2 linked regions of the Schizosaccharomyces pombe genome follow. The protein of the gene in region 1 binds, or shares a complex with, the protein of each later gene. Each region holds a gene or a part of one and is shown on either strand. Other genes may lie near its edges. The genes, in order: pst2 and clr6. A codon is read from its position in the direction of its gene.

What was found.
Region 2: the proteins of pst2 (region 1) and clr6 are in contact, whole or in part, in a cryo-EM structure (PDB 8I02), measured with the Schizosaccharomyces pombe proteins. Residues at the interface, in NP_593646.1 of Schizosaccharomyces pombe: Val132 (codon at 2,736), Pro139 (codon at 2,757), Cys140 (codon at 2,760), His143 (codon at 2,769), Ser213 (codon at 2,979), Lys214 (codon at 2,982), Pro215 (codon at 2,985), Pro216 (codon at 2,988), Leu217 (codon at 2,991), Gly218 (codon at 2,994), Ser219 (codon at 2,997), Phe220 (codon at 3,000), Pro221 (codon at 3,003), Ile225 (codon at 3,015), Gln226 (codon at 3,018), Ser227 (codon at 3,021), Ser228 (codon at 3,024), Gln229 (codon at 3,027), Phe230 (codon at 3,030), Asn328 (codon at 3,324), Ser329 (codon at 3,327), Asp333 (codon at 3,339), Glu336 (codon at 3,348), Cys337 (codon at 3,351), Gly338 (codon at 3,354), Pro339 (codon at 3,357), Ser340 (codon at 3,360), Tyr341 (codon at 3,363), Leu344 (codon at 3,372), Glu348 (codon at 3,384); in NP_595333.1 of Schizosaccharomyces pombe: Glu14 (codon at 2,227), Asp15 (codon at 2,272), Asn18 (codon at 2,281), Tyr19 (codon at 2,284), His20 (codon at 2,287), Pro23 (codon at 2,296), Gln24 (codon at 2,299), Lys28 (codon at 2,311), His30 (codon at 2,317), Arg33 (codon at 2,326), Arg55 (codon at 2,479), Asn59 (codon at 2,491), Thr62 (codon at 2,500), Arg63 (codon at 2,503), Cys64 (codon at 2,506), His65 (codon at 2,509), Thr66 (codon at 2,512), Asp67 (codon at 2,515), Glu68 (codon at 2,518), Asp96 (codon at 2,645), Asp101 (codon at 2,660), Gly102 (codon at 2,705), Glu105 (codon at 2,714), His138 (codon at 2,958), Lys140 (codon at 2,964), Lys141 (codon at 2,967), Arg142 (codon at 2,970), Ser145 (codon at 2,979), Gly146 (codon at 2,982), Phe147 (codon at 2,985).

The regions. Positions count from the first base shown.
Region 1 is NC_003424.3:2,158,354-2,164,747, forward strand, and holds pst2 (Clr6 histone deacetylase complex subunit Pst2), read left to right. Parts: upstream 1-2,132; 5' UTR 2,133-2,218; coding exon 2,219-2,249; exon of another isoform or gene 2,250-2,295; coding exon 2,296-2,476; exon of another isoform or gene 2,477-2,554; coding exon 2,555-5,570; 3' UTR 5,571-5,725; downstream 5,726-6,394. Other genes in the region: ER zinc importer, CDF family, Zhf1, read left to right, coding at 459-1,622; Polo kinase Plo1, read left to right, coding at 5,887-6,394. UniProt on the Schizosaccharomyces pombe protein: Has a role in chromatin assembly and chromosome segregation. Involved in the deacetylation of histones.
Region 2 is NC_003423.3:848,692-853,545, reverse strand, and holds clr6 (class 1 histone deacetylase Clr6), read left to right. Parts: upstream 1-2,069; 5' UTR 2,070-2,187; coding exon 2,188-2,227; exon of another isoform or gene 2,228-2,269; coding exon 2,270-2,331; exon of another isoform or gene 2,332-2,376; coding exon 2,377-2,427; exon of another isoform or gene 2,428-2,469; coding exon 2,470-2,587; exon of another isoform or gene 2,588-2,630; coding exon 2,631-2,661; exon of another isoform or gene 2,662-2,703; coding exon 2,704-2,747; exon of another isoform or gene 2,748-2,837; coding exon 2,838-2,883; exon of another isoform or gene 2,884-2,938; coding exon 2,939-3,173; exon of another isoform or gene 3,174-3,219; coding exon 3,220-3,312; exon of another isoform or gene 3,313-3,357; coding exon 3,358-3,466; exon of another isoform or gene 3,467-3,510; coding exon 3,511-3,651; exon of another isoform or gene 3,652-3,691; coding exon 3,692-3,800; exon of another isoform or gene 3,801-3,842; intron 3,843-3,847; coding exon 3,848-3,906; intron 3,907-3,957; coding exon 3,958-4,037; 3' UTR 4,038-4,201; downstream 4,202-4,854. Other genes in the region: spo9 (ER farnesyl pyrophosphate synthetase Erg20), read left to right, coding at 309-443, 493-630, 699-899, 940-1,521; cys11 (cysteine synthase), read right to left, coding at 4,361-4,854. UniProt on the Schizosaccharomyces pombe protein: Responsible for the deacetylation of lysine residues on the N-terminal part of the core histones (H2A, H2B, H3 and H4).

The sequences.
Region 1 (6,394 bases):
GAAAATTTCAAAAGGTAGTCTTTGTTAGTTCCTTTTGTGGTAAACGCGATTAGTGGCCAGTCACTTACAAAACTTTGTTAAAGCAGACTAATAGTAGTCAACGTGTGATTTTATTTTTTCTTCACCGCTTACTTCTCAAAAGCCTCCTTTTTAATTTACTATCAAAAACGGCAGTTTTGGCAGTTTTTTGAAGGTTTATTGGTTTAATTAATTTATTCTGTAAAAACAAGGAAAGCAAAATTACAGATATTTGATTCTTTAGATTTTCTTAAACCCTCTCGCATCTTCGTCTTATTTTGGCTTTTTTTTTTGTTAAATATAGCAAGTTTGCGCCTCTTTTATTTAAATTCATTTTTAAAAAGCCACCTTTCATTCTAAATTTACCTTATTCCTTTTTCTCCCTGTGAAATTCAACCCTTACCATTTTTTTGAAATTGGTGACTTTTCGTTTTCAAACTATGTTCGACCTCGCAAGACAAACTCGGATTATCCTTTTATTAGGTATTGATGTTACTTTTTTCTTCATCGAAATTATTACTGGTTATGCGATCGATTCACTTGCCCTAATTGCTGATTCATTTCATATGTTAAATGACATTGTCAGTTTACTGGTCGCTCTCTGGGCTACTCGTCTAGCACATTCAACATCTCACGAACCAAAATACACATATGGCTGGCAACGTGCAGAGATTTTAGGTGCTTTGTCGAACGGTGTATTTCTCATTGCCCTTTGCATGTTCATTTTTATGGAAGCCATAGAGCGCTTCATTGAGCCTCCTTCTGTCAGCAATCCCACCCTTATGTTCTTTGTTGGTTCTTTAGGTCTGCTAAGCAATTTCGTTGGTATCTTTTTATTTCATGACCATGGTCATGATCATCCTCACACCCATACCGCTCAAAATTACGATTTTCCTGAAGAAGATGATATTGAATCCGTTTTACCTTCGACTATCGTTCATCGTTGTAATACCAGTCAACAAGAAGTCAGCCATACACACACTCAAGTCGCAGACTCTGCTACCGAATCTTCTCCTTTATTGAGTTACACTGGTAATCATAATGGTGCTGGTACTTCAAAGCCAGTCAACAACCATGGCAGTATTGAACAAGATGCACCAAAACAAACGAAGAAACGAAATTTGAATATGCATGGTGTCTTTCTTCATGTCTTGGGTGATGCTCTCGGTAATATTGGTGTTATTAGTGCTGCTTTATTCATCAAGTATACTGACTATTCTTGGCGTTTCCTCTTTGACCCATGCATTAGTATCCTTCTTACTTTCATTATTCTTTTTAGCGCAATTCCTCTCTGTAAATCCGCTGCTCTCATCTTATTACAAGTTGCTCCTCAAAGCATCAAACTGGATGATGTTTCCAACCTAATTAATCATCTAGACGGCGTGGAATCTGTTCATGAACTCCACATCTGGCAGCTTTCGGACGTTAAATTAATTGCCACTGTTCATGTCTGCGTTACACTTCCTGATGATAAGGGAGAGTCTTATACAAAGCTTACTACGGATATCCGTAATGTCCTTCAATCTTTTGGTATATATGATGTTACCATTCAACCAGAATTCGCCAATCATCCGCTTTTATGTGACCAAGGTTCCTCGTCTTAGTTTGCGAACATTATAAATTTAACGTGGTTAATCTATTGTGTCACATCTTTTGATTTATTCTTGAGGTAAAATTTTATATTGAATGTTTACTTTGTTTCATTTTTAAAGCGTAATTTCTTCTGCCATTCCTGTTCGTATTTAAAAACTTTATTTCACCATCTTGGTTGTTTGTTTTGCGAATGCACTTAAGTAAAGTAGTCGACAACTTAACTTTGAAAGTAGATAGTTTTCGATTTCTTATTCTTGATGAAGACGATGCATAGTTTCGGTTTTATTAAATCTCTATTATTCTTAGAAAATAATGTTTAGATGTAGTGTTTAATTATTTAAAAGGAATATTTTTTAACAATTATATTGGGTTTGATTCTTCTCGTTAGTATTTTTTCTAAAGTATTCGTTGTAAGTGTAAAACACCATCCAATGTGGTATTTGTGTTCATGTCTTGATAAATCATTTGAACTTTGGCTATCAGCGTCAGTTCATGTAATGCGTTGACGAGTTTGTGCGCTTAGTTGCATTTGCCGTTTCCCAAATCATCACCTCCAAAATAAACGAGATCGTATTCCTAGTCATTTGATGGTTAAAGATCAAAATACATGGAACAAACACTAGCGATATTAAAAAATGGTACGTATCAATTTAATACATAACTCATTTTAACCAATGTTGTTAGACAACTCAACGTTAGTGGCCGAGATGCAGAATCAATTAGTCCATGATTTTTCCCCTAATGGTACCGCACTCCCCGAGCTTGATATAAAGGCATTCGTTCAAAAGTTGGGTCAAAGACTGTGTCATCGTCCTTATGTTTATAGCGCTTTCATGGATGTTGTGAAGGCTTTACACAATGAAATGTATATATGGCTTATTTACTGAGTTGCTTTGAGATAGCTCTTTTTTTATTACTATTCACTTATTAACATGAACATTAGTGTCGATTTTCCCGGGTTTATTGAAAGAATATCTGTAATCTTAAGAGATTACCCAGATCTTTTAGAATATTTGAACATCTTTTTGCCCTCGTCTTATAAATACCTTTTATCGAATAGCGGTGCCAACTTCACATTGCAATTTACCACCCCATCTGGTCCAGTTTCTACACCGTCTACTTATGTAGCTACTTACAACGACTTACCTTGTACCTATCATAGAGCTATAGGATTTGTTTCACGAGTTCGACGAGCATTATTGAGCAATCCCGAACAGTTCTTTAAATTACAGGATAGTCTTCGTAAGTTTAAAAACTCTGAGTGTTCGCTTTCTGAGCTTCAGACTATTGTAACGTCTTTGCTAGCGGAGCATCCATCTTTAGCCCACGAGTTTCACAACTTTTTACCAAGCTCCATCTTTTTTGGGAGTAAACCTCCTCTAGGATCGTTTCCATTAAGAGGAATTCAGAGTTCCCAATTTACGTTGAGTAATATTTCTGATTTGCTTAGTCAATCAAGGCCGGACAACCTCTCACCATTTTCACATTTATCAAATGAGAGCAGTGACTTTTTCAAAAATGTGAAAAATGTACTTACCGATGTAGAAACTTACCACGAATTTTTAAAACTCCTGAATTTGTACGTTCAAGGGATAATTGATAGAAATATTCTGGTGAGTCGTGGGTTTGGGTTTCTTAAATCGAATTCGGGACTTTGGAGAAGCTTTTTAAGCCTTACTAGTTTGAGTCCGGAAGAGTTTTTATCTGTATACAATTCCGCTTGCTCAGACTTCCCGGAATGTGGCCCGAGTTACCGATTGCTTCCTGTCGAAGAACGCAATATTTCTTGCAGCGGTAGAGATGATTTTGCATGGGGTATACTTAATGATGACTGGGTCAGTCATCCAACTTGGGCATCTGAAGAAAGCGGTTTCATTGTTCAGAGGAAAACGCCTTATGAAGAGGCAATGACAAAGTTGGAAGAGGAACGTTATGAATTTGATCGGCATATTGAAGCTACTTCCTGGACAATCAAGTCTCTTAAAAAAATTCAGAACCGTATAAATGAATTGCCGGAAGAGGAAAGAGAAACATATACTCTCGAGGAAGGGCTAGGTTTACCATCAAAAAGTATATACAAGAAAACTATTAAGCTTGTTTATACCAGTGAGCATGCAGAGGAAATGTTTAAGGCCTTGGAAAGAATGCCTTGCCTCACATTACCATTGGTAATCAGCAGATTAGAAGAAAAAAACGAAGAGTGGAAGTCTGTTAAAAGAAGTCTTCAACCTGGATGGCGAAGTATTGAGTTTAAAAATTACGATAAGAGCTTAGATTCACAATGCGTTTATTTTAAGGCAAGAGATAAGAAGAATGTATCTTCAAAGTTTCTCTTAGCAGAAGCCGACATTCTACGATCGCAAGCGAAGCTCCATTTTCCTTTGCGAAGTAGATCAGCTTTCGAATTTTCTTTTGTATATGACAACGAAATAGTACTTTTTGATACTTGTTATATGGTATGCACATACATTGTATGTAACTCTCCCTCTGGTTTAAAGAAAGTTGAGCATTTTTTCAAGAATATATTGCCTTTACATTTTGGTCTTGAAAAGGATAAATTTTCGATATTCCTGGATCAAGTTTTTCGTGGTCCTGATTACGATGTGAATGCCCCGAATATAGTTGGTAACAAGCCTGTACGTCGGAAAAGATCTAATTCTATAACCCAGTTGACGGAATTTGTAAAACAACCTAAAATCAATGGTCAACGCGAAAGTCGTTCAGCTGCAGCTGCTCGCAAAAAAGAAGAATCCGGTAACAAATCACAATCTAACTCTCAAAACTCTTTAAGTGATGAATCTGGAAACGTAACGCCGGTTTCTAAGAAACAGCTTTCACAACCTGCTGCAGCCATTAAAGCCAGTCTCAAATATCCAAGTCATCCAGATAGTCTTTTGGAACATCAAGATCATGCTGGTGATACGGAGAATGAAATGCATGACGACGTCGATAAAGAACAGTTTGGATATTCTTCTATGTACGTATTTTTTAGACTTTTTAACTTATTATACGAAAGGCTTTATGAGCTTCAGCGTTTGGAGGATCAAGTGTCCATTATCCAACAGCGTATAATACCAAACCCAGTATCTCAAAAACAAAAGATTTGGCGCGATAGGTGGAATGATCTTTCAGATGTCCCTGATGAAAAAACTCATTACGAAAATACTTATGTGATGATTCTTCGATTAATATATGGGATAGTTGATCAAAGTGCCTTCGAGGACTATCTGCGGTTTTATTATGGCAATAAAGCCTATAAAATATATACTATTGATAAACTCGTTTGGTCTGCTGCTAAACAAGTCCACCACATCGTTTCCGATGGAAAATACAAATTCGTTACTAGTTTAGTCGAACAAAATAGTTCTGCTTCGCCTAAGAAGAATTATGATGACTTTCTTTATCGCTTGGAAATTGAAAAGCTTTTGAATCCTGATGAAATTTTGTTTCGATTTTGTTGGATAAACAAATTTAAATCATTTGGAATCAAAATAATGAAGCGAGCGAATCTTATTGTGGATCAAAGTTTGGATACACAGAGACGAGTTTGGAAAAAATATGTTCAAAATTATCGTATACAAAAACTTACTGAAGAAATATCTTATAAAAATTATCGTTGTCCCTTTCTTTGCAGAAATATAGAGAAAGAAAGAACAGTTGAGCAATTGGTTTCACGCCTTCAAACAAAGTTATTAAGATCTGCAGAATTGGTTTCCGGATTGCAAGCAAAATTATGTTTAGACTCGTTTAAATTGCTCTACTTACCACGCACAGAAGATTCTTACATAGATGCATCTTACCTGCGCCTTAGAGATACCGACTTCCTTGATTGCCAGAATAAAAGAAAACAGCGTTGGAGAAATCGATGGGAATCGTTATTAAAATCGGTTAGGGGAACTTCTGACAACACGGCAGAGGTGAATTTTGATGCTGACATTAATGCACTATTTATCCCATAATGATTTTAATGCAGTCGACCTACCTATTGATCATATTTACTTAAATACAATTTGACTTTAATAGTTTTATATTACTTTGTTAACATAACTTATCTTTCTAGGTATTTTATAATTTCAAGGATTTATGTATAGTACGAATTTACTGAAATTTTTGCACATAAGCTTTGTATTAAATTTTCTAAAGCCGTACTTCTGTAATTACTACATAAAATATTACAATGCACAGATTTTTATTTACAAACAAGCGGTTGTCGTAGCAACCACTTTGTTTACCCTCAAAAGTTACCACCTGCGTTTTGTTAGAAACAAATACCAAATGGCGAGTGTTGCAATTAAAGAGCCCAAAACTGCTATAACCCCGAAGAAGAAGTCCAAAGCCTCTCGTCTTTGCTTTACTCCGCCAACTAATCTTCATAATAATAAAAAAAATATATTCTACACTCGCTACGATTGCATTGGTGAAGGCGGCTTTGCGAGATGTTTTCGAGTCAAAGATAATTATGGAAATATTTACGCTGCTAAAGTTATTGCTAAAAGGTCACTACAAAATGATAAAACAAAGCTGAAGCTCTTTGGAGAAATAAAGGTGCACCAATCCATGAGTCATCCAAACATCGTAGGATTTATAGATTGTTTTGAAGATTCGACGAATATTTACTTAATTTTGGAGCTTTGTGAACATAAATCTTTAATGGAACTTTTACGTAAGCGAAAACAATTAACTGAGCCAGAGGTTCGGTATTTAATGATGCAAATTTTGGGAGCTTTGAAATATATGCATAAAAAGAGAGTCATTCATAGAGATTTAAAGCTTGGAAATATTA
Region 2 (4,854 bases), on another chromosome or scaffold:
CCTCACCACCAAAGGAGTCCTAAATCTATATTTCTACTAAACTTTAAGCATTAGATAAACATCCTAATTGTCTTGAAAATTTAGGACCAAATAGATGTTTCAAATAAGTATAGTGTTTTTGATCGATATACTTGATTCTTAAAAACGAGATAAATTTGTAACGCGCTTTCACGCGTAATTTGCAAATTTTATATTCAAGAATTGTGGTTATTTGTCATTTTAAATAATATTTTCTCATAGAAGACCTGTGCTAGTTCTCAGTCTTATACCAAGCTGGTTCTTATACATGTACAATTAAAAATACTAAAATGGTCAACGATTTTAATGAAAAAAATGGCATTAAGAAAAGACTTCTAGATTTCTTCCCAGTCGTTCTCGAAGGAATTCGTGAAATCTTAGAAAGCATGCAATACTTCCCCGAAGAAACCGAGAAGCTGTTATATGTAAGTTGATTATCTTGCCTTTATAACGCGACAGCTAACCTTCATTTAGTCCATAAAGAGAAATACGTTAGGAGGAAAGAATAATCGAGGACTGGCAGTTTTGCAATCTTTAACAAGCCTTATTAATCGAGAACTTGAAGAAGCAGAATTTCGCGACGCTGCTCTCCTAGGTTGGCTAATTGAAATTGTAAGTAAACTGGTTTTTTAATTCAGATTTGTTTACGTAAAATCACTGGGGTACTGACGGATGTTCAGTTGCAAGGTTGCTTTTTAATGGCAGATGATATTATGGATCAGTCTATCAAACGACGTGGTTTAGATTGTTGGTATTTGGTAGTTGGTGTACGAAGGGCAATTAATGAGTCACAATTACTAGAAGCATGTATTCCACTTTTAATTCGAAAGTATTTCAGAAATATGCCATACTATGTCGATTTATTGGATACTTTCCGAGAGGTATGTTACAATAAATTCAACTAAAAAGCTTACTTTCAAGGTTACTTTTCTCACCGAGTTGGGGCAACAAGAAGATTTGCTTTCATCACGAGACGGAGAAGCCTCGTTACGATCTTTTGATTTAATGAAATATGACTTTATTATCACTTATAAAACATCATTTTATTCCTTTTACCTTCCTATTAAATGTGCTTTATTGTTGTCTCGCAATTCGAATCAAAAGGCGTATGATACGACTATAAAGCTTTCAAAACTTCTTGGTTATTATTTCCAAGTCCAAGATGACTACTTAGATTGTTTCGGTGATTACACGGTTTTGGGTAAAGTGGGAATGGACATACAAGACAATAAATGCACATGGCTAGTTTGTTATGCTGAAAAATTTGCCTCTGCGGATCAGCTGAATCTTCTTCGTGCTCATTATGGAAAAGCAGGGTCTGAAAACATAGCTGTAATAAAGCAGCTTTATCATGAGCTTCAAATACCTGAATTATATCACAAATTTGAAGATGACATGGTGGATTCTATATCCAAAGAAATTGATTTGATTGATGAATCTACTGGATTGAAAAAGTGTATATTTACTAAGTTTTTTCAGCTCATTTACAAAAGGTCACGGTAGCAGTCATTTCATTTTAAATAACCGTTATTATCTTCTTCCTTATTTAAAATTTATTATTTGATGACCTTCCAAATTCTTTATGATACTGATCGACGATTTGTATTTAGGGTTATTCTTAAGGTTTCATATCATTATAGCATTTATGGTTTTTTTCATTATTGTTAAAGATCTGCATTCAGAATTTACTTTTTTAATGATTATCTGGTTGATACATTACTCTACTTGGGAAACTAAGCAAGATTTAGATTATGTAGATGTAAACATTTGGTGAGTAGTATAATAATAACATCAAATGACATTGACGATCGTTGTTAATTGGATTGGTTATGAAAGAATTATTATATTGCTCATTTGAGAAAATGCAAAAACTGTCACTGAAAAAAACATACAGCACATTTTAATAGACATTCCAAGGTTAGTCCTTTTTGTTATAACAGTATTTTACTTAAATTGAACAATTAATCGTTACTTATTTAAGATCTTGAAACACTAGTTCGTGGATGGGAGAAATATTCAATAGAACCAGGCTGCTGCTTCAGCTTCTGACCACTCCATCATAGCAACAATTCTACGCGAAAGCGCTCCGAACCTAACATTTTTAATTGATAACATAAGGAAACTGTTTGCCTTATTAAATAATTGGGAAAGAAAATCCTATTTGAAACTATGGGGTTCGGGAAGAAAAAGGTTTCTTATTTCTATGATGGTACGTGTAAACTAGTAAGATCCTAGCTAATTTTTGAAATAGAGGATGTTGGAAATTATCACTATGGTCCTCAGCATCCAATGAAGCCTCATCGCGTTCGCATGGTATGATATAAAGCTATAACTATTTATCATCATTAACCTACTTAGGTTCATAATCTGGTCGTTAATTACAACTTGTATGAGAAGTTGAACGTTATTGTAAGTTCTATTTCTCCTTTTTATACTAATAAAGTATACAAGACACCTGTTAGAGCAACAAGGAATGACATGACTCGTTGTCATACCGATGAGTATATTGAATTTCTTTGGAGAGTTACACCTGACACGATGGAAAAATTTCAACCGCATCAGCTGAAATGTAAGATTTCATTTCGATTATTTATAAATAACCGTGATTTTAGTTAACGTCGGTGATGATTGTCCTGTTTTTGAGTATGTGCGTTTATCAAATTTTTTATACTAACAATTGTTTAGTGGGCTGTACGAATTTTGTTCAATTTCTGCTGGCGGTTCAATTGGTAAGATAAAAGTTTTTCCCAAAAAAGGGGCTTTGAAGCATCCGCTGAATTTGTGAATGGAGTATAGGACTTTAACTAACATTGGTTTAGGTGCTGCTCAAGAACTTAACTCGGGAAACGCAGAAATTGCTATTAAGTATGTTATTGAGGATTTTTTAGTACTTTGAAGATCAACTAACCACTTAATTAAGTTGGGCTGGAGGCCTACATCACGCTAAAAAACGTGAAGCTTCTGGTTTCTGCTATGTTAATGATATCGCGTTGGCTGCTTTAGAATTGCTGAAATATCATCAACGTGTTCTTTACATTGATATTGATGTTCACCACGGAGACGGTGTAGAAGAATTTTTCTACACTACGGATCGCGTTATGACTTGTTCATTCCACAAATTCGGTGAATATTTTCCAGGAACCGGTCATATCAAGGTATGCATGCGGCTTTATATTTGGATTTACTTTTCTAATATTTTAGGACACCGGAATTGGAACAGGAAAAAACTATGCTGTTAACGTTCCTTTGAGAGATGGTATTGACGATGAATCTTATGAAAGCGTATTTAAGCCTGTAAGTCTTTTTTATAAATTTCTTTGTTCTAACAATCTGAATTAGGTTATAAGTCACATAATGCAATGGTTTCGACCGGAAGCTGTTATTTTACAATGTGGAACAGATTCTCTCGCTGGTGATCGACTAGGCTGCTTCAATCTGTCAATGAAGGGTAAGTAACTACTGTTTCTCGTTTTTACTAATTCCCCTCAACAGGACATTCAATGTGCGTTGATTTTGTTAAGAGCTTTAATTTGCCAATGATATGCGTTGGAGGAGGTGGATATACTGTACGGAATGTTGCCCGTGTCTGGACTTATGAAACTGGTCTTTTAGCCGGCGAAGAGCTTGATGAAAGTAAGTACCAATACGTAAATTGTTTATTAACCCATCCAAGACCTTCCTTATAATGACTATTTACAATATTACGGTCCCGATTACAAGCTCAATGTTCTTTCAAACAATATGGAAAACCATAACACTCGGCAGTATCTTGATTCGATAACGTATGCTACCTTTTGAGTTTTATTCTTACGAGGCTGACCAAATTTAGCTCTGAAATCATCGAAAATTTGAGAAACTTATCTTTTGCACCTAGCGTTCAAATGCATAGTAAGTATAAGCGGTTATCGAAAAATGTGCTAACAAATACTCTTACATTAGAAACTCCCGGTGACTTTACGTTTGAAAATGCCGAAAAGCAGAACATTGCGAAAGAAGAGATTATGGATGAGCGCGTATAGACCTATATAAAATTTTGTATGTTCATGGTGTTTGAATCCATTATACTCGGTTTTTTTGTGTTATTTGAATCATGAATACTATAAAAGCTATTATGTTTAAATACCCTTATTTATAAGAATTCTCCAGCATAATTAGACTTCAGCATTAAATTGAAAATGCTCATTACATATAATAACAAACACTTTATATTCTATACTCTAGATGTGACTTGTGGTTTTAAAAAAAAAGGAATAGCCAAAAAATTAACGCACAAAGAAAGAAGAAACGGAAATCACAAGGTAGTAGTAATTATATGTCTATCCGAAGTAAAAGGTCAAAACAATTAAGGAAGTACAATATACTTCTTGTATTGTGGCTCAATTACATCAAATAATTTTTTACTTTCAAGGAATGAGCGACTGAATAAACGAGTGGCATACTTGTGACCAGAATCACAAAGAATTGTAACCACCGTCTTGCCAGGACCTAATATTTTAGCCATTTCAACAGCAGCGACCACATTTAAGCAAGAAGAGCCGCCCAAGAAAAGACCTTCTTGGTCTAACAAACGAAAGAACATGTTAATAGATTTTTCGTCAGGGATTTTCATAGCATCGTCAATGAGATCGTAAACAGGTTGGACATTTCCAGTAATACGACCTTGACCAATGCCTTCGGTAAATGAAGAACCCTTGTTGTCAGGATGCTTACCCTTCGTTTTGATATGGCTATACAAAACACTTCCAGGGGGATCAGCCACGAAAGAAGCAACACGACCGTCGGACTTCTCCTTCAAATACTTGGTAACGCCGGCAAAAGTACCACCAGTACCAGTAG